Linked DNA regions of Nothobranchius furzeri. The protein of the gene in region 1 interacts with the protein of each later gene in a pairwise test. Links are inferred from orthologs where the notes say so. Each region holds a gene or a part of one and is shown in the gene's direction. Other genes may lie near its edges.

Region 1 (2,784 bases):
AACATCGTGAGATCAAGGCAGTCGCAGATTTTGGAGCAAGGCGCTGCAGTTGCTCTCCACCGGCTGCAAAACCTAGGGGATGACGGGAAACACCTGGCTCTCACCTGATCTAAGATCTGACTGGTTCATATTTTGATCCAAACATCCGGTGGTAGAATATGAAATGTTAGTTGGTCACATGTATTCTGTAAATCATGTTACGTTGATGATGACAACTATATAGGCCATAAAGAGAAATGTGTTTTGTTTTCTTTTGTCACGTTTCCTATGAGCACACTGAAGCTACAGCTGATAACCTTCACTTATTATTACAGTCATGACTTCATATACAATATATGATATCCACAAGCACGTGAGGATGTGTTTCAGCTGCTAACAGGCACCAGAATTAAAATTGAAAATTAAACAAGTGTGAACGCTCACGCGATATCTTCAGCCATCGTCACCCCCGAGCTACACATACAGGAAATTGTGTCCGACTTAAACGCCGGCTTTCAGCCACTCCCCCTGCTGCTTCCGTCTGCTCTCGTCTGTTTTCCAGGCGAGGCGCAGCTCAACTCGAACACGGCCAGTGACTTTACAGCAATCCTCATACTAAGCAAGCATATAGCGACAGTGGAGAGGAAAACTCCCTTTTAACAGGAAGAAACCTCCAGAGGATCCTGGCTCAGTATAAGCAGCCATTCTCCACGACTCACTGGGGATCGAGAAGACAGAGAACACACACGCTCGCACACATGCACACACACACACACACACACACACACACACACACACACACACACCTGTCATTTACATGTGTTTTCTTGCTGTCCCTCTAGTTTCTAATGGGGATGCTGGTGACAATATTGACGGACATCGTGCATTTTGGGATCTATTATCCTCTGAATGACTTTTCGGCAGAAAGACGCTTCAGTGGAGGAATGGCAATCCTCAACCTGCTGCTCAAACCTGCTTCCTGTTTCTTTGTATACCAAATGTACCGAGAGCGAGGAGGAGATTACAACATCAACTTTGGTAAGTGGCGCTGAAAGCATCAAACTCACCGTTTTCCATGATGTTTTTAAACATAAAGGATGGATAACATGCAAGACTTTAAGAAGGCAGGCCCACATCATCAACTCAAGGCTTCTAATTACATTTGAACAAACAAAATACTTCATTAAAATATGTGATTCTTCAATCAAATACATGATTTGATTTGGTTTACCCCAAGAACCAGTGAGATTATTTCTGTAAATATAATCTCTGAATTAAAGGAGCATTGTTCTCCCTGTGTCCAGTTTAGATCCCCCTCATGTTGTTTTACTCAAACTGGAGAATCATCTGCTCCAAACCAGCAGCAGATGATTCCACATCTCATTGGTTAGTCACGTGATTTATTTATTTTTTTTGCTTAATCAAAATATTCAAGCTGCAGCTCGACTGTTTACAGAAACCCCACAAGTTCCTCATAATGTGTGTGTGAGTCACTCTGACCATGCGATCCGAGTGCATGGAGAAACGTGTTAAAGAAGCATGCAGGCTGTAAAATGAATGACCCGCTTTGATGCAGGAACAAAAATAGCTCGAGATGGATGTGCAGAAAGCAGAGGTGGCCACACAGAACCCACAAACAAAGATTTAGGTCATTGTGTAGATTCGTCAGACTGATCGGAGGCTGCAGGATCTCATTTATGTTGCAGACATCCACTTATGGATCTAACATCGCAGATCTTTGAAATTCTAATGACCTGGAGGCTTAAAATGATCATTCTTTGATTTGTTACCTGATGTCATTGAATTAATGTGATGAGCACATTTGGATATCAACTTCACAAAGAATGGATCAAAATGAAAGAAAAAAAAAGCGCTAGAAGACAAAAGGATGTTAGTGGTGAGATGCGAAACCTTGATGAAACCCATTTGTCGACTGCACAGAGGATAATTGAATATTGATGAATCTAGTTTCTTTATGGTTTACTTTGCACAGCAGGAACACCCATTAGACTGAGTTATGTCAGATGAAAGCAGCTAATGATCCTCTCAGACAGCGTTTGGGTTTTAATTGCAGCTAGATTGCTTTGCTGGCGTTGCACTGCTGAGCACAGTCAGGTACAAGCAACAGCTAGTTCAAGTCGACTATCACTAAACAAATCGGGATTATGAAAGCTGGGGTGCATAGCATGACGTCATCGTGGTGAGAAGGAAAAGATTTAGAAATTTGAACGGCTGAGAGCCATGCCTCACAAAGCTCTGTAGTGTGAACGCTAGCACTAAGTAATGTCTTTGATATGCTCCTGCTCAGACAAACCTAATTCTAACTGCTGAATTCAGCCTTCATCTGGTTGCAGCAGCTAATCACTCAGTTTAAACATATGTGGTGTTCAGCAGGGAAACCTCTAAAACGTGCAGGAATCTGGCTCTTCCAATGCTAGCACACCCTTGCTAATGCTGCAACAAGCAAAAACAGTCTGATAGCGTGAGATTGAATGCTACGCTAATCACTTAGCTCCAATACACACTAAATAATCGCCTCCCCTCCCTCCTCTTCTACAGGACTGAAATTTAGAATCTAGCTGAAATTTTCTTGTCAAGACAAAGGTTAGTAAAACCTGTCCATGACGCTTTTAACTCAAGTTAACTCAATGTTCTTGTTTTCAGAAAGCCTTTAAAATGATTTGCTGCTAAACTAACAGGGCTGACTCTGCTTCAACCACATTATTATCTGTGAAAACGACGAGCGGCAGCATTAGACATGGTCCGGCATTCATTGGTCAGTCATCCCGGAGGGGCTCGGAGTAG
Region 2 (3,207 bases), on another chromosome or scaffold:
TGTACGATACTGGTGTAAGCGGAACCGTACGCAGTCAGTTGGTTGTGAAAGGGGGCTATTTTTTTAGATGAGCACATTAGCTGGTTAAGCTAGTGGGAGCTTGCACCATGGGGAAGTGGAAGTTTAATGGTAGCTGGATGGCTAATCCCACGTTCGCGACGTGGTTAGCACCGGTTCCAGGCAATAGCTGGAAATTATCGCTTAAATTTAATTTTTAAAATAGCTTAAATTTGGTCAAAGTGGCCTTAAAAAAAGGTCTTAAAAAGTCTTAAATTTGGCTCCCTTAAATCTGCAGCTACCCTGGTCTACACCTTCGCCATTGCGCCCTAAAAAACATAAAGAGAGCCGAGGATAACTAGCGGCAGACACAGAGCAGCTTGAAGAATACCTCGTGAAAAAACTCAAAATGTGAACGTTTAATTCCCCCGTGACTGGAGGACTGAAAAGATGCACAGCAGGCGTTTTATTTGTGGACGGAAATGACAGGAAACGTGGGTTTAGAGGTGGCGAGCGCATGAAGAGGTGGAGAAGAATGAGAGACAAATTTGTCTGTGTTAAAAAGTCTCTTAAATACAAAAAAACTCAATATAAACACACTATCTTGGACCAGATACACGACAGGATACCACAGAACAGCGCTACGCCCTCTGCTGTCCTGCTGGGGAATTGCTTTGCAACGTTCACGAGAGCAAAACGTCTCCGTCCGTGCGTGTCTCTCCGTTTTGGAGCTGACGGAGAAGCATGAATCAGGCTTTACTTTGAGAGAAAGGCTTTTACCGTCTCTTGGGCTGAAAATGTAAAAATGGCTCTTATCTGTGTGTGCGTGTGTGTGTGTGTGTGTGTGTGTGTGTCTGCAGCACATTTCCAATCAGAGGTGTGCGGTCTGATGTCTGGAAAGCTCAGGCTGAGCACTTGGAAAGTGCAGCTTGCTGTCCTGCAGGCCATGAAGCCGTACTTTCAGGAGTAAGACGCTCAAAAGCAAACATGTCGTCTCTAATCCCAGCTCTTCCGTCATTCATCCGGTAAAAACAAACATTCTTCTCTGTAGCTTGTTGCTGTTGGAGAAGGCTGGTGAAGACTCAAGTGCACTATCAGAGATCCTGACGGAGACTTGTGCTGCTCTCACATATCCTTTAGGTGAGGGCCCGATTCCACTCTAATACACTAAATTATGATTTTCATCACTTGAGTTTGTTTGTTTTCTCCGCAGAAAATAAAAGTTACTCCTCTGTTCGGACAGAGGCCTTGTCTGTTGTGGATCTGATTGTGAAGAGAATCGGAGGTAGGTGATGCAGTCTCCTTGACATGATGACATTCATGTTGTGTGATTTGTTTTGTTTCTTGCTAAGAGATAAAAAAAAAAAGTTTGTCTCACAAAAAATACACCCAAGACAATACAATAATTTACATTTATGGGATCAGGTTTTTTACTTCTACAGATTTATTAATAATATGTATTTTTATTTTTATAATTCAAAATAAAAGGGAAAATTTTCAGTTATTTTTTTCCAAGTGTGCCTGTATGCAGTCGTTATAAATTAGTGTTGCGTAAGGATGTAGAATTAGAAACACTGTTAAACTGCATAACTGAGCTGAACCATCAGGGGCGACGGTGGCACAGGAGTTAAGTGCTCGCCCCGTAATCGGAAGGTTGCAGGTTCGAGCCCCGCTCAGTCTGTCGCTGTCGTTGTGTCCTTGGGCAAGACACTTAACCCACGTTGCCTGCCGTGGTGGTCGGAGGGACCGGTGGCGCTCTGCGTCCCAGAGCAGCTGTGGCTACATCGTAGCTCATCCCCACCAGTGTGTGAATGTGTGAATGAGTGATTGTGTTGTAAAGCGCCTTGGGGGGTTTCAAGAACTCTAGAGGGCGCTATATCAAATACAAGCCATTTACCATTTACCATATCAGGGTCCCTCCAGCTTCTATGTGTCTGATGTATTAAGTCCATGGATTTTTATATCTGAGTGTGTTGCTGATTCTCGTGTGTGTTCAGAGAGCGAGCAGTGGGAGTGTATGTCTGTGAAGAGCCGGGAGCAGCTGCAGCGCTCCCTGTCGACTCTGCAGTCGGACGCACGGCCCGCCCTGAGGGATAAAGCCCAGGAGCTGCGCAGACGCATCCAGAGCCAACCCTGAGGAAGATGGGACAACATAAAGGAGCAACACACACACACACACACACACCCTCTGTCTTATAAGCATGATGCCATACGTGGAACTACTGTTACTGATGGAAAAGGAGGTACAACCCAAGAAGACCGGGGCCTGATGTCCCACACACCTGTGTTGTGTTGATGAAAGGGATTTAATAATTCACACGTCTGTCATCAAGCTGCGCCGCGGACTCCCAACAGGAAACCAGACTAAACTCGCTCCTCTGGGCAAAGCCAACGCGGTGAGCTGTTAACTTCTACGTTGTTCACTCAGATGGACTGTGTGTGAGCTGATAAACTGCTTTATAAGTGTTGGGTGTGTGGACACTTTATAGCTAATAGCCCCAAAATGGGGATTTTTACTACTGTTGTGGGTTTGCCTTCCTAATAACTGTCCAAACAGCAGCGGGTTGTTTATCGCAGCCAACAGAAGGTGACGATGCTTTAGGGTATCACAGCGTGTCCTGAAATCTAGAGAGAAACCTGCTGATAACTTCAAAATGACGCTGTAGCTGTTTGAATTTGTCTTTCATGAAATAAAACGTAATCATTTGGACCGGTTATTGATTTCTGCTTTGTAACAGGTTTCTGATGACTGTTGCATCTGAGGTGAAATGTTGAGAACTTATGAGCTCCTTTAGAGTTTAGGAAAGCCGTGTTCAGCTTTAGTCATGGCTAAACGCGATCATTATTGACTCACTTCAGCAGAATCTGTCCCAACATGAAGGAGGCTCAAAGATCTCCAGAACATCATGTCACTGCAGGACTCGTCTGGGTGTGGGTGAGGTCATGGAGCAACTAGAGGGGCATCGGGACCACCAACGCCCATCTAACATTTACCAAAACACGATGATCCACCGGACTTTTAGGCAAATCTTTTGTAGGCCGGTGTGAAGAGAAGGGAACTCTCCGGAAGTTGTGACTCGCGTTCCATCTAGAGCAGGGGTGTCAAACTCATTTTAGCTCAGGGGCCACATTGAGGGAAATCTAGTCACAAGTGGGCCGGACCGGTAAATTAAAAACAACTTCAGATTGTTTTCTTTGTTTTAATACAAT
Region 3 (3,997 bases), on another chromosome or scaffold:
GGATGGGCATGACTAAGGGTCCCTATTTTTTTTTTTTACCAGTGTTTGCACTGACCAATATTGTTGTGATTTGCCCACTGTTGCTTTTATATTCTACAAATGTGTGTCTGCAAGCTGAGAGCTGCCAACTTATGTGTATATAATGACATTAAGGAATTCTTACATTCTTATATTTTACGTCTTATGTGGCTCAGAGAGATATTAGATAAGCTCATTAAGAAGGGCAGCTCTGTCTTGGGATGTACCCTTGATCCAGTGCATATAATGGGAGACAGAAGGACTCTAGCAAAAATAGCATCACTGTTGGACGATAGTCTCCCACCCCATGCATGATGCTGTTTTGGATCAGAAGAGCTCCTTCTGTGACAGATTGCTGCATCCTATGGGCATGAAGGAACGTTGTCATGGGTTTTTCCTCCCAGGCCCAGCAGCAGTTAGGATTTGCAACCAGTGCTGCTTCCAACTAACCCACTAAAACTTTTTGCCTCCCTGCTGCTTGGTTATTTGCACAGTTCTGTTGTAGTTCTATCTTCACATTTCTCTACTGATCACTCCAATAATCTGCTTGTTCTCTCACAATATTTTATTTTTTAATTCAAACATTTTGTAAATTCCATTGATTCTTCTTTAAAATATTTCTTGCAATAGTGTTTAACATGTTTTTGTTTAGAGTACAGCCTTCTATTTCTTATTTATTTATTTGTTCTTATTGTGAATGTGGTTGCTGTTGTGATACAAACATGTCCCTACTATATAGAATAAAGGGATATTCTATTCTATTCTGTTCTGTTCACAAATCGAATCCCCTCTATTTGTAAAATATTATTTAGGCTGCCTTGCTTTGCTTTAGAAAAATATTGTGTCCTCAGATCCATTTGAAAATACTTGCTCCTTTATTTTTATTTATATTTACTTATTAATTCTTTGAATGACACCAATTTCCATCAATTTTCTATTCACTGTTCTGTCAAATGTGTTGGATCAATAAAGTTTTTTGTTCAAATAATAAAGCCCGAAACATGTAGGTAGTTTTTTGCCTTTTTAATTACAAATACAATGCTATTTATATTATTTTTGCCTTGCCAAAAGGAATGTGCTAACGTTTTTTATGCCTTTGAACCTTTTCTATACTGTATAATTTCACAATGATAGATTTGGAAAACAAAAGCAAGCTCCATCCTGGCTTTCCGCTGCTTTATGGACAGGCACTTGTGAGGGCACCTCTCACGACGGAGGAGAAAGACATGGCGGTCTCCTTGCGTTTGGGTCGTCAAGGAATTTTTTCTGGTCTCAAATTACTTAATTTTAACAAAAGTTTTTGGCTTCGACACCCTTCGCAGGATCGCGTGAGATACGTATTTCAGTCGCCATGGATGTTTGGTGAGTGTTGGCTTTAAAACCGGCTAATCAAGGGAGAACAGCTCTCCTTTGACCTGACGTTTGCTACACCCAGTTATGTTTAATTGTGATGGATTTACGTGTGTGACATTAAGTCTCGTCGTTTTTTACAAAACGATTCCGGATTGGCTCATCTGGTTTAATATCTACGAAGGAGTTGAGTTACTTCTAAAACAATTCAAACCAAGCTTCGCAAAAATTGAAATATCTACTAAAAAATAAAAAGAGGCCATGATATTGTGGCCAAGAATTTTATCTCCTGTAAATTTTTAGGAAAGTGTATATTAGATATTCAATTAAGGATGATTTAGACAACATGCTGACTCGAAGACAAAATAGACATGCAAAAGACTTGCAGCTTACCAAAAATAACCACAAAAAATTAATATTTACTCTTAAATGTCAGATAAAAAATCACAATCTTCATGAAAATTAACTAAAGCTTTAAGTGTCCAGCAAATGACAGCATACACCCCTTTAACTAGAAACAGAAGAGACTTCTGACCTTTTTATTTAACTGAAAACCACTTAGGAACAATTTCACTGTCAGTATTTTTAAAACCTGTTCTGTATTTTATTTTGTACCATGGATAAGTATTAACAGTACTCCCCTCCCCCTCCATGTTAGACAGTGTGGCCTCTATGGGTTACGGATATTAGAAAACCTACTATCCTTTTTAGTCTCGTAACTAGTTAACTTGTTTGACAGCCATCAACTACGATCACGGGTTTGCAATAACTGGCACTGAGAAAAACGGTTCTTTATATTTATTCATTTTTTATTTTATTACTCTTGTCTTTGAATATACATTTTGTGTTTTCTTCCTTCCATCCTCTAGGTGTCAGCCCACTCAAAGTACAAATGCCAGCTCTCTCTCCCACCATGGAGGAGGGAAGCATAGTCAAATGGCTGAAAAAAGAAGGTAAAGTGATACAAGTTTAATCAAGGGTTTCTTAATTAGGGTATTTTTGTAATAAGTATTTTAAAATTCTGAAAATTGCATTAGATTTTACAGAAAACTTGACTACATCAATGTCATTTCTCTCGCTTACCAGCTTTATACCTTAGTAAATTATACATAAATATGTTATAGTCATGACTCAAACAGCTTCTATTTGGACAAAACTGAATCCGAAGCTCCACTTTTCTTATCCTCCCACAATTACAGACCAACATCAGGACAAATCAATCCCTCAATGACATTTCATTGCTTTGTAAGACAGAGACTTGAGTTGTAGATCACCTGAGGGCCTTGTTGGCTAATTAACTCAAGAAATCACAATTGCTGATAATCATCCAGGTGGTTCTCTTATCTAGAAGCAGCATGAGGAACTCAATGGCTACAAGCTGTGTTACCATGTGTTTCTGCCATTTGTACAATTGTGTGTATGTGAAAATCATGAGAATGGATGCTTCAAAACATTTCCTTCCTGTACCCACCCCCGGTCCTGTCTGGCTGTAAAGCACACATAATTGATGTCTGAATGCTGGTAACAAGCCGTACAGATTTACTCTCAGGTGGAGCATCAAAGCATCTGCTTTTAATGTCACGCCTGATACTTAAAACTTTATTGTTATTGTTTTTGAATGCTTTGTAATTCTGACCAGACACAGAGACATAGGTGAAAGAGAAAGGAAGAGACAAGGAAGGGGGAGGGGGAATAAACAATCAATGATGAACAGGGATCTGCTTCTAGACCTGCAGAAAAGGGACACGCAACAACACAACAGGAGCAAGCTATCACTGTGTCAACCTGATGAGGAAATATAAAATGAACATTGTTTTACTGAACAATCACACGATAATAAATCACAGTGCATTTAGTGCCAACCACAGCCTTAAGACATGTGTTGAACATGCCCAAGTCCATACTTACTGCCTCCCCGGGAAGCCAAGCGACAACAGAGGTGTGCTAAGGCCCCTAGTCACCCTCCACCTGCTCCAATATAGTGTTAGTGCGTGTTGATGAGGTGTATTCAATGGCTGTGGTGAGCAGGCAGTGCAGGCATCGTCTGGCCTACGCCAGCTGATGCCACCACACCACTCCACTTGCACCCACAGCCCTCAGTGTCTAAGTGCAGTTTAAAATAGGAAGAAGGCACCGGCACTTGGGATGAGGCTGAAAATTCCCCCTGCCAAATGCCGTTGAATGCGCCAAGGTCTACCTGAGTCCCCTGAGCCTGGGCCAGGCACTGCCACATGTTTCCGCCTTCTTCCCGGCAGCATACATGCTTCTTGTATTTCCAACTATAACTATAATGTAAGGTTGTGCAAGTTTATTTAACATACACAACAGATTTAATTTGAATAAGGGTAATAACATATTTATGAAATGGTAAACTTAACACAGTGATAGCGAGCCTGGCAAGCCATCAGTATATATTATCTGGCCACGGCCCATTCACAGCTTTTGCTGCACAAAAAAGTTGTATAATCAGCTGATTGTCTTCATCCTGTTTTGTTCTGAGGAGATGATGGATGAACATCTGCAGAAAGCTAATCCTATTTGCTACAGAAACAAGCATTTAAAGTAAATTAATGGTTTATCATAGCTAGAATCCTATGAAGTGCATCACTGGGACTTAACTGAATTTCTC
Region 4 (3,500 bases), on another chromosome or scaffold:
TATAGCATCTAATGCTGGTGAGGCAGTGGCTCTGCTGCTTATTAAACGAGGTTCTTTTTGCTTCGGACATGAAGGTGTTTCCAGTTACCTTCATGTCCGAAACAAAAAGAACCTTGTTTAACATTTAAAAAGAGGACCTAATGAACATTGTAAAGGGTTCTGCTGCTGTTGGACTTAGCAGCAGCATTTGATACCGTTGACCATCAGATATTGTTGAACCACTTGGAACACTGGGTGGGGCTCTCTGGTTCTGCGTTGTGGAAAGGACTTCCTCTGTTTTCCTTGGTTCTTATTCATCAAGAGACGCTGAACTTAGGTGGGGTGTTCCCCAGGGCTCGGTTTTGGGACCCCTGCTGTTTTTGCTCTCTCTCTCTCTCACCACTGGGACTGTTGTTTAAGAAACATAAAATTAGCTTCCATCTCTATGATGATGACTGCCAGCTTTATTTGCCAAATCAGCAAGAGGCCAGTGGCAGCATACGGCAGCTGGTGAATTGTTTACAGGACGTTACTCAATGGATGGGGTCCAATTTCTTGGCTCTGAAGGAGGGCAAAACTGAAATAATAGCTTTTACCCCGAATAACCACCAGCCCTTTTTATCGCTGCTCCTCTATGAGAAGTCTGTTTTACAGATTTGGGTGTTAAAGTAGATTCTACTCTAACATTTGGTAGTCAGGTGAATTCTGTTGTTCGTTTGTGTTTTTACCAGTTTAGGCGCTTTTCTAAGATTACATCGATCCTCTGTTGCTTTGGACTGGTTACCAGTGAAATGTTGTATTCTCTTGGTCTTTGTTTTTAACGCTTTGTCAGGAACTGCCCCACCATATTTAGCCTCGCTGCTGACCCGTTATGTCCCTTCAAGATGGCTACGTTTGGGTCAGAGTGACCTCCCAGTGGTACCGCGGTCAAAACGAAAGTCCAGAGGTGATCTTGTCTTTTCAGTTCTGGGTCCTCGGCTTTGGAACCAACTGCCACTAGAAACAAGACGGTCCACATCGCTGCCCACTTTTAAAGCTAGGCTGAAGGTGCATCTTAGATCTGTTTCTTAGTTTTAATACTCGTGTATTAATGTTTGATCATCATTGTTGTTTTGCTGTTTTTAACTCGTGTCTTCGATTGTTTTATTTCTGTATTTTATTATATAGCAGATTGATTGATTGATTGATTGATTGATTGATTGATTGATTGATTGATTGTGCTTTAGTTGTTTTTACGTTATCTTCACCACCGTGGGCCCCTTGACTGGGGTAAGGAAGGGGCTTTACAAATAAACTTGAACCTGAAGATGAGCTAATTTATGATTTTTTTAATGCAGAATGTTTGAGGCCGGTGAGCAATTTTAACTCTTGGCCGCCATCTTGAAAAATTAGGACTATTCTGTTGTTTACTTATTCATTTTCAGTCATTTTCTTACGTGCTTGCACACACACACAAACACACACACACACACACACACACACAAAGAAAATACTGCAATGCTCCACATCCATACTTGGCAGATTCGTGACCAGAGTCAGCTGTGATTGTATTTCTGTCTGTAATCTGCTCAGGTTCATGCAGGATTCACTGAAACAGCAGAACTCTCCTCTCGTGGCGGTGAACAAACAAAAGCTCGGGAACTATGATCGGTGTGTGTGTGTAAACAAAGACTCTGTCAGGATGAGACTCTTGATGATGCCTCTGTGTTTCCATTGTGTCGCTGGAGAATGTAACACCCTTTCTGTCACCAAATCACACTTTTATGGCAGAAGAAGCAACGACCACCTTGATCACTATATCCACCAAGGAAGGACTTGAAATTCCCTGTGTGGGAACCTTTTATATTCCCAAAGATGCTAAAGGAGACATAAATCTGCACACTGCACTTCCTCCAGCTGAGTACCAGTGCTCAACAGCTAACGTTCCATCATTGTTGTTTTCATCATAGCTACAGTTTAAATGTTGCAACAAGTTCCTGTACAGGTGTCAACTAGACAAAATACATACTGGTGGTTGGCTAAGAGCAGGAGTCGGTGTCTGTCCATCAGGACTATTGGACAGACACTGATCAAAGAATGGTAGGTAAACTTCCTCCCAGAGGAACTCCTCCAACCATCCAACAACAGTTTGGTGACCAACAATGGACACCCTCCCTCCTTCCCCAGACCTTAACCCTACTGAGAACTTGTGACTAATCGTCCAGAGGCAGGAGGACAAACACAAACCCAACACTAATGTCAGGACCTGGACTAGAGGCCGACTGACAGCAGCTTAAAGAGCAAGTCACCCCCAAATCAACTGTTTTTTGCTGATAAGCTAAATAAACGAGTGTGTAATCGTGCTGCAGACACGTGTCGTCAATAATTTGGCACTTCAGTGCATCTTAATTAAAATTTAAATATTCTGCCTAAAACTGGCAGTGTTGTGCCGTTGTCAGGTAAAAACTGCACTGTATTTGAATTTAAATCTGCCACCGCTATTGGCTAAGAGGTATGCTATGATGTAAACTGGTACATTATGATGTCACAATGCTGTTTTTGTGTGTGTGTGTGTGTGTATTTGTTAGCGGCTCCGCCCTCTCGGTCTGCCTGGCAACAGCATTTGTTGCATTTTTCAAACATGAAGTGGGAGTGGAGTTAGACTCTGGTAGGGGGTGACTTGCTCTTTAAGTTGAACTACAGAAGGACCACCTCTGCAGATATTGAGTCTTTGCATGAACTTAATCTTCCCTAAAAGTGTTTGGATCTTATGAAATGTTTGCGGTTCTACTTCAGTAACCATGGAAACATCTGACAAAAGGATGTGTCCTTCTCTAAACGTTTAGCCACATTCCTGATGCAGACGGATTAGAGCCTTTGCACAGCATTCCGGCTCTACAGTATGTGTTCTGGGAAGGAAAACTGCAGTACAAGTGGGCATTTGTTCACTTTAACTAAAATAGAAAATTGTGCTTTAATCTGTCTAATGTGTGGCACCTTTATGTTGATTTTTAAATGACATTTTAAAACGTGTTTGCTCATATTGTGTTCCGGGAATCATGACGGCTGACGGTTTAACATCTGTGTAAAACTTCTGTTCTCAGCTAACGCCATCTCCTTGTGATGACGCTGCCTCTCAGCCAGTCTGCTCCTCCCCTCGAACCCCCATCTCTACATGTGGAGACCTGGTCCTCTCTCTGGAGTACCGGCCCGAATCGGAGAGGCTGCTGGTCACCATCATCACGGCCCGTGACATTCCTGACAAGGCTCGCAGTGGGATGGACTCTTGGCAGGTGCACATGGTCCTGCTGCCCTCCAAGAAGCAACGCCACAGGACGTCTGTGCAGAAAGGCTCACTGCCGCAGTTCAACGAGACGTTCCGCTTCTCCCGTTTAGAGCCGTCTGACCTGCAGCTGTCCGCCATCCGGTTCAGGCTGTACGCCGTGGGGGGGAGGATGTCCCGTGAGAGAATGATGGGGGAGAAGGTCCTTCGCCTAGGGGGGCTTGACACAGACAGGAGCACAATGGAGGTAACGCTGGTT
Region 5 (4,296 bases), on another chromosome or scaffold:
ATTCACTTCTTTAGGCTGACATGAAAACTCTGTTCCCCTATCCCAATAAACAAAATATCTTTGCATTAACTGGTTGGGTAATTTAAGTTTGTGCGAAATTGCGGCATAAAGTGAAGATAGAGACAAAAAAACCCTAATTTAACACAAACGTAAATGTGTTTATAACAAGTCTCTGACAGTTTCTGTCACATAAGGTGTGTCACCAACCCAGGTGTGATTTATAAAAGAGTAGTATTATTTATTTACTCGGTAGTTATAAATCAACAAGGCTCAGATAGGAAATGATCGCCAGTTGAAGTCCCAGCAGACAAATGTGAGTAACTGACCTTGGTTTAGAAATGCAGTCAGCCCAGTGAAGGTAGTAGCATTGAACACGGAGGGGCTTTCCAGCTAAACTTTTACTCAACACTTTAAAGTCACATTTAACATACTTCCGGTAACAGCAGTTCTGACACTAACTACTCTGTTTTCCTGACTCAAATTACTCAGCAGTCAGTTGTGTGGCTAGAGGCCCAAGGTTCGGTTTCATCACTGTTCGGTTCGGTTCTCCTGTCCCGACCTGAAAGCTCAGACCGAACCCAGTGGTACCGAACAGTATCACACTCACCGTTAACTTCACTCGTCAGCGACGACACAGGAGTCTGGGAATTCAACGGCGCTCAGGGAGAATTCAACGACTTTTACTCGAGTCCAAAAATAAAACAAACGGTTATTTGTTTTCTTTCCAACACTTCCGTGTTGAGACGGTTGCTTTTCCGGGAAATGACGCAGCCGCGTACGCCCCGAGAAACATTTTGCCACTGCGTCACGTGCGTCAAGTTCCAAAGAAACGACAAGTACAACGGAGCCGAAAAGTTTCAAAATAAGACACTCATCGAGGATCGTCAGCAACCGACCTTTGACACAGAAATATTTTGAAAATGTGGTTTCAACAGTAAAAACTATTACTAAACATATTGATCATGTAAAAATAAATAAATAAATAAATAAATAAATAATGAAAGATTGAAAAAATATTTTAGATTCTGTGCCCTTGCCCACAAAGTCTACATAGTCACCGTGAGCTTGTGAAACAAAAATCACTTGTTTGTGCTTAATTCAGCTGACTCTGATACTTAGTTCATGGTCAGTTCAGTTGTCAGAATTTTTATCAAATGTTTTACTAGGCTCTTTAATTTACATGCTTGCTCAGCCTATGTAAACAACTTGCATGTATCATTTAGACTCCTTTAAGTCCTCAGTTCCATCCATCCATCCATCCATCCATCCATCCATCCATCCATCTATCTATCTATCTATCTATCTATCTATCTATCTATCTATCTATCTATCTATCTATCTATCTATCTATCCATCTATCCATCTATCCATCTATCCATCTATCTATTTATGGCTTGTGTGAGTGTGAGAGTGTGTTTGCAATTTTTTGTTTTCGGTATTGACATGAAAATCCACAGTCAAGACTTTTAATTTAAAGGGAAACTTCCTGGCATCCGGTCTGCAAATCTGTAGCTTGACTGATCTCATTGTACACGTGCTGATCAATGGTGCTGTTATAACGTGAAAGCAGCAAACGTATTTCTGCTTTTTGAATGTTGATGATTAGGATTGCGCTCACCTGGTTGATCTGCAGATCCATGGGCTGTTCAGGCAATTTTCACTGGGACTGGATTGATTGTTTCTACAATTTTTAAAGTACGGTTCGTCAAGACAGTTCGGCTCTCAGTCATCTCAACACTATGCTTCTTTGGAGCAGAAAACTGCACACACTGGAGTCTTTCTCTCTGGCAGCTTCTTACCATGTCACAGCTTGTCTCCTGAGGACAGAGGACAGGAACCCAGCTGTAAGGAGACACTTCAGAGGGCCTAAAACATCCAGTGATCAACAACGGCCTGCTGCATCTGGGGGGTTGCAGGATCGTGGGAAGTCATCCCAGAATAAATTTGTAAAGACTGAGAACCCCCTGTTTCAGAAACGGAATCAAGTGAGGACAGATGTCTCCAGAGTGTCATCTGAACTCAGGAAACTGTGTCTAGAAGATTTCCCTGCAGACAGTGGGAGGCTGGTGATACAGAAGCCAGCACTTGACTCCAAAGCCCAGGAGGTGATTTTTGGTGTAGCCCCCTGTTTCTTGGCTCTCACTCAGCGTAGAAGACATGCCTACAGACTGTTTGTAAAAGATGGTGAGACTTCTCAGAGAGCTTCTGTCTTAAAGGTATGTGAGGAGGCAAACCAACGAGGAGTACAGATCAATAGGGTTAGCAAGAAAGATCTGGACAGGATGTCCTCTGGAGGAGTTCACCAAGGAGTCTGTCTGTGCGTAAGTCCTCTCAGCTACATAGCCTTGGACTCAGAAGCTAAGCAGCGAGACACCAGCGCCCCTCTTTGGCTGGTCCTTGAGAGAATCCAGGACCCAATGAACCTTGGTGCCATCTTACGCTCTGCCTATTTCCTTGGTGTGGACAAGGTCATCAGCAGTCTTCGCCACAGTTGTCCCCTGTCTCCGGTGGTCAGCAAGGCCAGCTCAGGGGTGATGGAAGTGATGGGGGTGTACGCGCATGAAAACCTGGAGGAAATGCTGAGGCTGAAGGTGGTGCAGGGCTGGCAGGTGGTCGGTACAGTGGGAGCAGGCACAGAAGTGTCTCACATTCCTGTCGTCCCGTGTTCAGACTTTCAAATGAGTGCTCCGACAGTGTTGCTGATGGGAGGCGAGAGCGAGGGTCTGTCGCCCAAACTGCTGTCTCTGTGCCAAACCCTTCTCACCATCCCAGCTGGAAGGGACTTGTCCCCCGGCATCGAGTCACTGAACGTTTCTGTGGCTACAGGCATTCTGCTGCACTCCCTTCTGTTCACAGGGAGCTCAAAAACGCAGCATTAATCATCAAGACTCCTAAAACTACATCTGAGCATAAAGATCAGTTTAAACTGATATAATGAACTTTATTGTATCGTTATGAGCAAAACATCTTGGTAGTTGATTTCTATGAAGGATTTTAATTTAAAATAAACTACTGAGAGTGTAAAATAATTGTCTCGGATATGTTTTCAAAGGCTTTGTTTTATTCCAGTTTAGTTTTCACTCAGATGTTGAATAGTAGGTGTAGAAAAACATGCATTTATGTTTGTTTTATCTTTCTGGAAATAAATTGTAATTATAAATATATAAATCTAAATATTTGAGTTTAACGCTTTTAGCTTTACTAAATGTTTGTTCTTGTTTTATAATCGATTTGGCATTTGTTATTTTTCTTATATTCAGAATAATGTTGAGTCTGGACTGTTGAAATGATCAGAAACACCAAACTGTCACTGAAGTGTATTAAACTTTAGAACATTTTATCAGTACTGTAGTAGTGGCTAATAGAAAATTCAGCACATTACATCACTTTAGTAGCACTGTTTATAGGATAAATTATTAAATGTACAGGTTTAAAAAAAACAAATGTAATTTCTCTCAAGATTTGTTAACTTTAATAATGTAAATATTCATTTTAGAGTGATCATAAAAGTAATTGTTGGTGGTTATATTATTGCCTCATATGTTTTTTTTAAATTAAATATTCAAATGTATATTGGAGAAAAACAACTCAGGACACTGATCCATCTAGTGTGTCAAAAATTCAAAATCTCAATAAGCAGTTCAACAATTAAAAACCTAAGTTGGATTTTTAATCATTTCCACTACATTTTTTCTTATTCAAAACTTACTGAGGTTTTGGGAGACAACGTCTTGAAGAGATTCAATCCTCAGGTTCAGGTTGAAACGGTAAAGTGTGGTAATCCAGTTTCCGCACCGTACATTTAAAATAAATACATTATTACTGATCTCTGGTTACAGTGTTTTTCCAAAGTGGTCAGATTTCATCTGCACGTGAAGAAATTCTGCTAAATATTGGTTTGCCATTATTCTATTCAGCTGCATTTTTCATTATATCTGTACCTAACAAGCCTGGCAAGCCAGACTAAATACATATATTTGCTAAATAAACTTTGCAAAGCAAGAATTTAGTCTATTTCACCTAACAGCTCTGGTGATGTGTGGATCCTACAAACAGTGCTGAAGTTTTGATGTGAGTCCTGTGAGAAAAAAAAACAACCAGAAAAATGTACATATTTCCCCAGCCAGCACAATACAAAAAATCCTCTGTAATGCAGTTTTTATTATAGCCTAATAAAATGCTAAATATCTGAACATTTGCCAGGGACATGAGACCAGCAGCTGCTAAAGTGTCAAGAACTAAATTACTGGTTGTGGAAAATAGTGAGGAAATAGAGGAGCATCTCAATATTTGAGG
Region 6 (3,977 bases), on another chromosome or scaffold:
CCGAACAACAAAAACACAAAAGATGGATCAAGGAAGCAATCGAGATAAGGAGACGTGGATGTGGGACCATGAACAGGGACGACGGAGTTTACACGCTGGACCACGCATGGGACTGCATCGTCGGAGAGGGGAGAGCGGGCAGTAGAGGGCGACAACGTCCTCTGCTGCCCGCAGATAAACGGAGAATATTTAATGATCAAATAAACTATGTATAAGATAAATAACTAAATGTGTGCACCCATTAGTAAACATCTTAAAATATTGCAACAAAATGAAATAATAAACCAGCGTGTGGAAAAAATATTTAAATAATACTAACACTGAGAAATGGCTGGAGGAACCTCCACAAGAAGACAGAGCAGACACACCCACACACATCCACACACAAAACATATATACCAAGTAATGTGTCTATAGTTACATGGTGATTTCTTAGTAAATATTCTATTTGGTGAGAGATAAACTTTATTGTATTTATCCCAGTGAATCTATAATTAAACAGGTAAACTAGTAGTAGCACATTCAATGTCAAAGAGAGTAAAAAGTTATTATCAGGAGAGGAAGAATACTTAAGTGGTTAGCAGCAGTGTGCTAGCCGATGGCCCCCTCCATGAGGCCACCACAGCTCAGCAGAACATCACTGTAGCTTCTTCTGGGGAGAAAAACACTTAGAGAAAAAATAAAGTTAACAGCTAAAATAGTAGGAAATAATACAGTTCTGAGCAGATTTTAGAAGAAAGTAGTCTAGCGTGGAAAGTGGTCAGTGTATCCTCCAGCAGTCTAAGCCTATAGCAGCATAACTACAGAGATAACTCTGGATAACCTAGCCTTTTAGATGGAGGCTTGTTGGAGGCAGGGCAAGGGAGAGCCGTCTTTATCGACTGTACACTCCACCTTCCTCTACTCCCCCGCTTGTCCAGATCTAGGCTAACATCAGATTTTAACCAAAGGCCATATCAAATACAAATGTTTTAAGCCTAGCCTTAAAAGTAGACAAGGTGTATGCCTCACGGACTAAAGCTGGGAGCTGGTTCCACAAGAGAGGAGCCTGATAACCAAAAGATCTGCCTCCTGTCCTATTTTTTAGATATTCTGGGAACCACCAGTAAACCTGCAGTCTGAGAGCGAAGTGCTCGGTTAGGAACGTATGGAACAATCAGATCACTGATGTATGATGGAGCTTGATTATTAAGAGCTTTACATGTGAGAAGGAGGGTCTTAAAATCTATTCTGAATTTAACAGGTAGCCAATGTAGGGAAGCCAAGACAGGAGAGATATGATCTCTCTTTGTAATTCTCATCAGAACTCTAGCTGCAGCATTTTGGACAAGCAGATTCTTCCCCTCCGCAGTTGGACTGATGAATGACAAACGTAGACCCGTCTGCACCTGAAGTGACCCGCTCTAACCAGAACCTACACTACACTGTCTTGTATATAGTAGCTGCTTCTCTAATTATTGCCTCCCTATATTATTATTATTTCATGATGTTTATTTCTTAATTCTAATTTTGCTTATCATTTTTTTTTCTTGCACCAAGTCCAAGTACCGTAGCAGTTTCCTAATGTTGGGATTCTCACACATATGGATATAAACCCTACTGGTTCTGGTTCTGACCAGCAGGGGGCTCCGCAGAGCGCAGATTGAAAGGCAACAGAGTCTCTTTGTTCATGCTCGTGTGTGTGTGAGAGAGAGAGAGAGGGAGTGCGCGCGCGCGCGCCTCAGGCTGCATAAAGACAAGCTAGTCAGAGTCAGAGCTAAAAAAAAAAAACTTGCAATTCCTTGCATGGAGTCCGGACAGCTGCGGGTTCGGTGAATGAGCTACTGATCTCTCTCTCTCTCTCTCTCTTGGACGCTGGGCTCAAGCTAACAGGCCGGTGTGGATCGCAGGAGGGCACGCAGCGTCTCTCATGTCTCCAGCTGTGAGACACAGGGACAACTTCTAGAATTCATTTCCTTTAAACGAGGGATACTTCCGAATCATCATGGCAGCGACTTTGTCAGCGGAGGAGGAACAGGTAGGCCCGCGCGCGGAGGCTCCTGCTCTCTATTTCCGTTTCTTTTACCACCCTGCGTGCGTGCGCCACAGCAGTGCGCTTTTGTGGCATTGTTGCCAAATGTTCCGGAGCGCAAAGCGGAAACATCGCATCGATTTCAGGAACGTTATTGGCCTGGTCGTTGCACCACAGTCGGCTTCTGTGTTGAAACACACCGCTGATGCTAATGCAGGGTCACTATGGGCCTGGTTCTGGTTCTGATGCTGGTTCTGGGCCTGTTTCTGATGCTGGTCCTGGTTCTGGTCAACCCACAGAAGTTCTTGTTCTGTCAGAAAAGAACACATGAATCCCATTTGACCCGTTTTAACCAGACAAAACAAACTTAATTTCATCAGTATAATCGGTGTTGGACTAACTTAATATATGTCATACATATTACTGATTATAGTATAACAATGTAATATGTTTGTAATAAATACTACCGTCTCATTAATCTAGCTGAGTTACACCACTTTCAGTTACTTTCTGCAAAATTATTTAAGTATGTAACAGAATCCAGAAATACTATAGCTGATCATTTTACATTTTATACAAGGATGAAATACATGATTTTTCTCACAGTTTTATTCAAGTCAGCAGAAAATGTTTAACAACAGAACACAGGCACAACAAGTGCCTTACATACATTTGAATAACCAAGTTAAAGGTATAACCTCAAGTAAAGGTATAAATGTCCTGAGAGTGGTCACACTCAGTAGAAAACAACTAAATAATCAAGCATTCAAGACAAATGAATAAATCGGAATGCCACAAATGTTTACCAGAAATTGTCACTTTGTGGGTGTGGATGTTGGCGGACCGTGTGTAGAGGAACTGACCTGGAGGCAAAAATGCAGGTTCGGATAAAGTAAAAATGGTTTTAATAACAGAGCGGGAACGACAGGACAAAAACAACGCTGACAACAAACACAATGATCTGACAAAGACTGATACTAGGAGGGAGATATAAATACACAGGGCAAATGAGGAACACATGGGCAGGTAAACAAGGGGCAGATGAAAACAATAAGGACTAATCAAGGGCAGGAGAGAGACACAGTCAGGGAGGCAGGGGCAGACGTGAAAGAAATGTTTTCACACTTTAGCAGCTATTTGGTGTGGTACAGAGTAGTACATCTCACTGAAGTATTTATTAAATCACATTAAAAGAAGGTGCTGAAAGCGCTCATCACCAAGACGATTGTGTTTGGGTGTCAGAGCGGGACTTCCACTGGCGCACTAGTTGGTGTTGGAGCTTTGTATCACTCATCAACTTCATTTAATACCTGTTCAAGACTTTTTAAGACCTTCAAAAACAAAGTAAGACTTTAGTGCAATGCAACTGGAACTAATAAACTTTATTTTGTGATTCCAATAGAAAGAAAAACATTTTACAAATAAAACTTTACTCAAAATAAAGTTTCATAAAATAGGCTTAGGGTTAGTTTGCTAAAATAAATGATGAAAAAACTGCAGATTTCACAGCTAAACTCAACTAACTTATCCAGCTGGCTGTCTAGTATGAATGCACGTCCCCCTCACTTTCCACGCATTATAATTAAGGAACTCAGTGGGTTAGCCTGGTGTTCTCCAATGTGTGAACCAACCTAGAGCTGCCACAACCGGCTATTTTAGTAGTCGACTAATCGTGTCATTAATAAAGGTTTAGCTTGTTGATGCTCTAATATACCATCATTAGCTTCTAGTCTGAAGTGTGATCCATCTACTAATAAAGACAAGATGATAGCTTACCAACAACTTTAATAACTTTGTAACCAGTTAATACAAATGCTACAGTCAGGTGGAAGTAGGCACCTAAAACCAAACTGATGTGTGTTCACCAGAGTCTTGGTGTCAAGGTTGAAGCGCTTCATCTTCCAATCTTAACTCAAGAGATAGCAGGACCAAGGTACGCCTCTGTAGCACGGCTGGTCCAGACGTC
Region 7 (4,214 bases), on another chromosome or scaffold:
AACCAGCAAGCTAAAGAAGCCACTCTTCTAAAGATGATATTCCGTTTTGGCTTGTTTAACTCAAACAACGCAAGCGCCAGAAGAGCTACCTTGCTCCCCTGCTCTCTATTCTTAGCCATTTCCTTTAATAATAACCAGAGTATTGTCTGCTGGGTCCTTGAGAAGCACCTCCCTCGACCTTCAGGAAGAGATCCTGTTTACCTTACGGATGCTTCTGTCTCCAACTAGTGTCTCTCTGGAATACTCTGCCGTCACCTTTTGTACTTCTACCACTCTAAACCACACACACACACACACACACACACACACACACACACACACACACACACACACACACACACACACACACACATCAAAGATTGTACTTTGCTAAGAAACTTTTAAGGTCATGAGTTGTTCAGGAGTTTGATATTTTGCCAAAAGCCAAACTTAAAATGATTCCAGTTCCTTGAAACTTGTACGTACCTAAGATCATGCTCACAGCAGTGATATAGATGGATGGATTGTGCAGCAGGGCTGCGCAGTGGCTAGAGCTGTTGCCTTGCAGCAAGAAGGTTCTGGGTTCGCTTCCCGGCCTGGGATCTTTCTGCATGGAGTTTGCATGTTCTCCCTGTGCGTGCGTGGGTTCTCTCCGGGTACTCTGGCTTCCTCCCACAGTCCAAAAACATGACTGTTAGGTTGATTGGTCTGTCTATATTGTCCTTAGGTGTGTGTGTGTGTGTGTGTGTGTGTGCATGGTTGTTTGTCCTGTGTGTCTCTGTGTTGCCCTGCGATGGACTGGCTCTCGTCCAGGGTGTACCCCGCCTGATAGCCCGTTGACCGCTGGAGATAGGCACCGGCTTTAATATAACGACGCCTACTGCACATCACTGACAGCAGCAACTATTCGGGCTAAACCCACAGCAGAAAGTTAGAGCTAAGTGACATTTTATTAGGCAAACATACCCTGTCTACAAGAAGCCTCGACTTTTATTTTCTAACATAAACCCTATTCACCTGCAGGGCGGGACAGACAGTAAACATTATACTGTTACTGTTAGAAACACGTTAGCTAACGAGCTGTGAAGCTACTCAGCTACATGTTGACTGACGCGTATCTCTGCCGTCGGAAGTTTGTATGCTAGCTAACGCTGCGGCGCTCTTACATCCCAAACAAACAACAAAGCTGGTGTCGTTGACTTACTTTGGATTATTTGCTGAATTCGAATTCAATATCACTTAAAAGTTTAATACTCGTAAATAGTTTTTACCGATGCTGGTTAAGCTAATGTTTTGTTTCCCAGCACCTCCGAGACGCATACGTCATCAAGCCGCGCGGTGGCACTGTCGCGTTTAAGAAACGTAGAAGAAGACCCATTCTTCCTCTGCTGTTATAGGCACAGAGGTGTGAATGTTTTGATTAGGACTTTGCTGTTAGGCATGTTTCCACTTGGCTCTCTGCGGATTATATGTTCACCTCGGGCTGCGCGACACCCGCCCTGGACGAGGAAGCATGGAGCGTCTCTTCCAAACGCTGCCACGTTAAGTCCCAGCATGGCAGCCAGCTTCCACAGCAACAACCCTCCTTGGCACAACGGCGTGAACTTCAGAGAATTTGGAAAAGTAGAATTTTATTACACTAAAACGGTCTTTTCATCCAAAAGTTGCTGCACAAGTCAGATTAAACCGCACTGCTGGAACTGTAAGCGACTTCTAGAGAAAACGTCCACATTCTTCTGCAAGTCATGCCAGGCAATCCAACCCCCCGAGGAAGGAACCACCTACTTCAAAATAATGGACTGGTTAGTGTCTTACATCACTTCAAATCAGCCATTTCTAAATGAGCTGTCATTCAATTTCATTTCATTGTGTGCTGCCCCTTTTTGCAGTGACTACACTTTCACACTGGACACCCACAAGCTGCAGACAAGATACTTGCAGCTTCAGCGATCTCTTCATCCCGACAACTTCAGCCAGAAGTCTGTGGTAGGCAGGGGAAATGATGACCAGTTTGGTGAAATGGTTCACGCGTCAAACCAGGCTCTGTTATCGATTAGTTGGACTGTGGAGCTGCAGACAAAGCATGTATATCATATGATGCTGTTTTAAACCTTTGAGAGCAAAGTGGGCAGTGTAAATAAAGCGGTTTGTTTTGGTGAAACTGCCCAAGCCCACTCTGACAAGATGTGCCTACAGCAGTGATTCAGTTGCTGTACTGGTTATGGTGGTCCAGTGGTTAAGGTATTCAGCCCAGCACTCGTAACAACTGGACTACCAAGTCTGCTACGTGACGGTCGCCTAAGCCACATATCCTGTGCTGACCAGCTGAATTAGGTTTCATACCAGAGACTATCTTCCGGGAGAGGAGCAGGGCCTGATGATTAGTTTCCATTCATGTGCAGCTGAAACAGGAAAATGCATTAACACAACCCAAAACGGGTTTGTTTGTGTAACAGTATCACGGTCAAAAGCTCCAAAAAGTGGATTTTTCCTGATAAGGCGTTTCCAAGGTTACGTTGACTGTATTAGACAATACAGAGCAACATCAAAAGAGTCATCATAAACCAAACAACAACAACAAACACCCATTTATTTTCTACTGTACATTCTGTTCTTTGCTCGATGTAAAACCACTCCCAAAGGATCCATCCATCCACCCATTTTCTGAACCCGCTTTGCGACCCAATAAAAAAATGAAAAGAAGCAGGTCTGAAAACGACATCTGAGGCTTATAGATGGTTTACTAATATTGGGTAAAACTCAAGTATTTTTCAAAGCTTCAGATGTTTTAAGGTATTTCATTATGACTGAGCCTTTTAAAAGAGAAGGAACAAAGGAAGACCTTTGATTTACTTGGTGAACACGGCTGCAAAAAGAGCCCAAAGATCACACCTTCAGTTCAGCAAACCTTTAACGTTTTATAATGTTCTCATATCCATTACCCGTTTACACAGCATCAGGTTCATGAGCATGAGATTCAAGGCTTCATTGTCCTTTTGTACAAAGGAAACGTGCACAATAAAATTCATAATTTGTGTAATTGTAATGATTTAGACAGTTAAAGCCGAGTATGAAGATAAAAAAGATGCGTGAAAAATGCAATAACTGAAATTCCCACTTTTGGCCTTTTTTTCAAGGTTTCAGCTTTAAGTTTGAACTTTTGTTGTGTAAAAACAAAAGGAGGCATGGAGAATATTATAGGTAATCCACATTTAGGAGACAACATGGAAGAAAGAGGTTTTAACTGTTAATACCTGCATAACATCAAGCAGACATAATGTGAAACTGGACAGATTTCCAGTTGTCCGCATCACGCAGAAACACATTATGCACCAAAGAACAAGCACACTCGTTAGATAAGTCATTCATATCATTTTCTCAGCTGTAGATCTGAACAGAGAGGATCCTGATTTGTGTGAATGCATCCAGCGTCAGTGGAGCTTCTAGGCACATTAAGGTCTGCGCAGAGGTAGTTTGATTGTGTTTTATCTTTTTTAGTCGATGGGCCTACAAGCTGTAGGAACAAACCTCCAGGATGTTGTAATGGGAGCAGTTGCATAACGTTAGGAATTATTCTTGTTGCTGTATTGCTCATGCGCAAATATTCAGCAACAACAAAGGAAGACTCCGTCCACCGCCCTTCAGTAATTGCTGAATGAAGGCAGCTGTGGGATTTCCTATAAAATCCCAACATCAAAGACCGCAAAAAAAAGTCTCAGATTCAGCTCATTTACAGTATAGCGTGGTATAAAGTGTCTTTTAGGTTTTAGTTACTCGTGCTGCCCAAAATAAGCTTCGATCTCACTTATTTTTCTTCCCTGGGACATATTAATCTATAATTATATATTATACCTTACTATATTAATCTATAATTCTATATTATACCTTACTATATTAATCTATAATTCTATATTATACCTTACTATATTAATCTATATATTATACCTTACTATATCAATCTATAATTATATATTATACCTTACTATATTAATCTATAATTCTATATTATACCTTACTATATTAATCTATATATTATACCTTACTATATCAATCTATAATTATATATTATACCTTACTATATTAATCTATATATTATACCTTACTATATCAATCTATAATTATATATTATACCTTACTATATTAATCTATAATTCTATATTATACCTTACTATATTAATCTATAATTCTATATTATACCTTACTATATAAGCATTTAAATGAAAACTTGCAGAAAA

Evidence for each region.
Region 2: the proteins of agtrap (region 1) and ecpas interact in binary tests that used the Homo sapiens proteins (3 or more experiments, as listed by UniProt). The two-hybrid records come from large-scale screens. The link is inferred for Nothobranchius furzeri from reciprocal best matches to the Homo sapiens genes AGTRAP and ECPAS.
Region 3: the proteins of agtrap (region 1) and pdhx interact in binary tests that used the Homo sapiens proteins (3 or more experiments, as listed by UniProt). The two-hybrid records come from large-scale screens. The link is inferred for Nothobranchius furzeri from reciprocal best matches to the Homo sapiens genes AGTRAP and PDHX.
Region 4: the proteins of agtrap (region 1) and syt16 interact in binary tests that used the Homo sapiens proteins (3 or more experiments, as listed by UniProt). The link is inferred for Nothobranchius furzeri from reciprocal best matches to the Homo sapiens genes AGTRAP and SYT16.
Region 5: the proteins of agtrap (region 1) and mrm1 interact in binary tests that used the Homo sapiens proteins (3 or more experiments, as listed by UniProt). The two-hybrid records come from large-scale screens. The link is inferred for Nothobranchius furzeri from reciprocal best matches to the Homo sapiens genes AGTRAP and MRM1.
Region 6: the proteins of agtrap (region 1) and ptpn9a interact in binary tests that used the Homo sapiens proteins (3 or more experiments, as listed by UniProt). The two-hybrid records come from large-scale screens. The link is inferred for Nothobranchius furzeri from reciprocal best matches to the Homo sapiens genes AGTRAP and PTPN9.
Region 7: the proteins of agtrap (region 1) and hscb interact in binary tests that used the Homo sapiens proteins (3 or more experiments, as listed by UniProt). The two-hybrid records come from large-scale screens. The link is inferred for Nothobranchius furzeri from reciprocal best matches to the Homo sapiens genes AGTRAP and HSCB.

Annotation. Positions count from the first base shown.
Region 1 is NC_091743.1:75,225,095-75,227,878, forward strand, and holds part of agtrap (type-1 angiotensin II receptor-associated protein), read left to right. Parts: intron 1-821; coding exon 822-1,017; intron 1,018-2,784. UniProt on the Homo sapiens protein: Appears to be a negative regulator of type-1 angiotensin II receptor-mediated signaling by regulating receptor internalization as well as mechanism of receptor desensitization such as phosphorylation.
Region 2 is NC_091747.1:76,192,011-76,195,217, reverse strand, and holds the end of ecpas (proteasome adapter and scaffold protein ECM29), read left to right. Parts: intron 1-857; coding exon 858-963; intron 964-1,048; coding exon 1,049-1,137; intron 1,138-1,210; coding exon 1,211-1,282; intron 1,283-1,994; coding exon 1,995-2,134; 3' UTR 2,135-2,707; downstream 2,708-3,207. UniProt on the Homo sapiens protein: Adapter/scaffolding protein that binds to the 26S proteasome, motor proteins and other compartment specific proteins. May couple the proteasome to different compartments including endosome, endoplasmic reticulum and centrosome.
Region 3 is NC_091744.1:75,526,061-75,530,057, forward strand, and holds the start of pdhx (pyruvate dehydrogenase protein X component, mitochondrial), read left to right. Parts: upstream 1-1,197; 5' UTR 1,198-1,244; coding exon 1,245-1,380; intron 1,381-2,237; coding exon 2,238-2,321; intron 2,322-3,997.
Region 4 is NC_091758.1:9,697,614-9,701,113, reverse strand, and holds part of syt16 (synaptotagmin-16), read left to right. Parts: intron 1-3,062; coding exon 3,063-3,500. UniProt on the Homo sapiens protein: May be involved in the trafficking and exocytosis of secretory vesicles in non-neuronal tissues. Is Ca(2+)-independent.
Region 5 is NC_091756.1:50,275,901-50,280,196, forward strand, and holds the start of mrm1 (rRNA methyltransferase 1, mitochondrial), read left to right. Parts: upstream 1-1,496; 5' UTR 1,497-1,739; coding exon 1,740-2,879; 3' UTR 2,880-4,296. UniProt on the Homo sapiens protein: S-adenosyl-L-methionine-dependent 2'-O-ribose methyltransferase that catalyzes the formation of 2'-O-methylguanosine at position 1145 (Gm1145) in the 16S mitochondrial large subunit ribosomal RNA (mtLSU rRNA), a universally conserved modification in the peptidyl transferase domain of the mtLSU rRNA.
Region 6 is NC_091754.1:45,568,528-45,572,504, reverse strand, and holds the start of ptpn9a (tyrosine-protein phosphatase non-receptor type 9), read left to right. Parts: upstream 1-1,177; 5' UTR 1,178-1,984; coding exon 1,985-2,017; intron 2,018-3,977. UniProt on the Homo sapiens protein: Protein-tyrosine phosphatase that could participate in the transfer of hydrophobic ligands or in functions of the Golgi apparatus.
Region 7 is NC_091750.1:33,252,191-33,256,404, forward strand, and holds the start of hscb (iron-sulfur cluster co-chaperone protein HscB), read left to right. Parts: upstream 1-1,414; 5' UTR 1,415-1,419; coding exon 1,420-1,781; intron 1,782-1,868; coding exon 1,869-1,965; intron 1,966-4,214.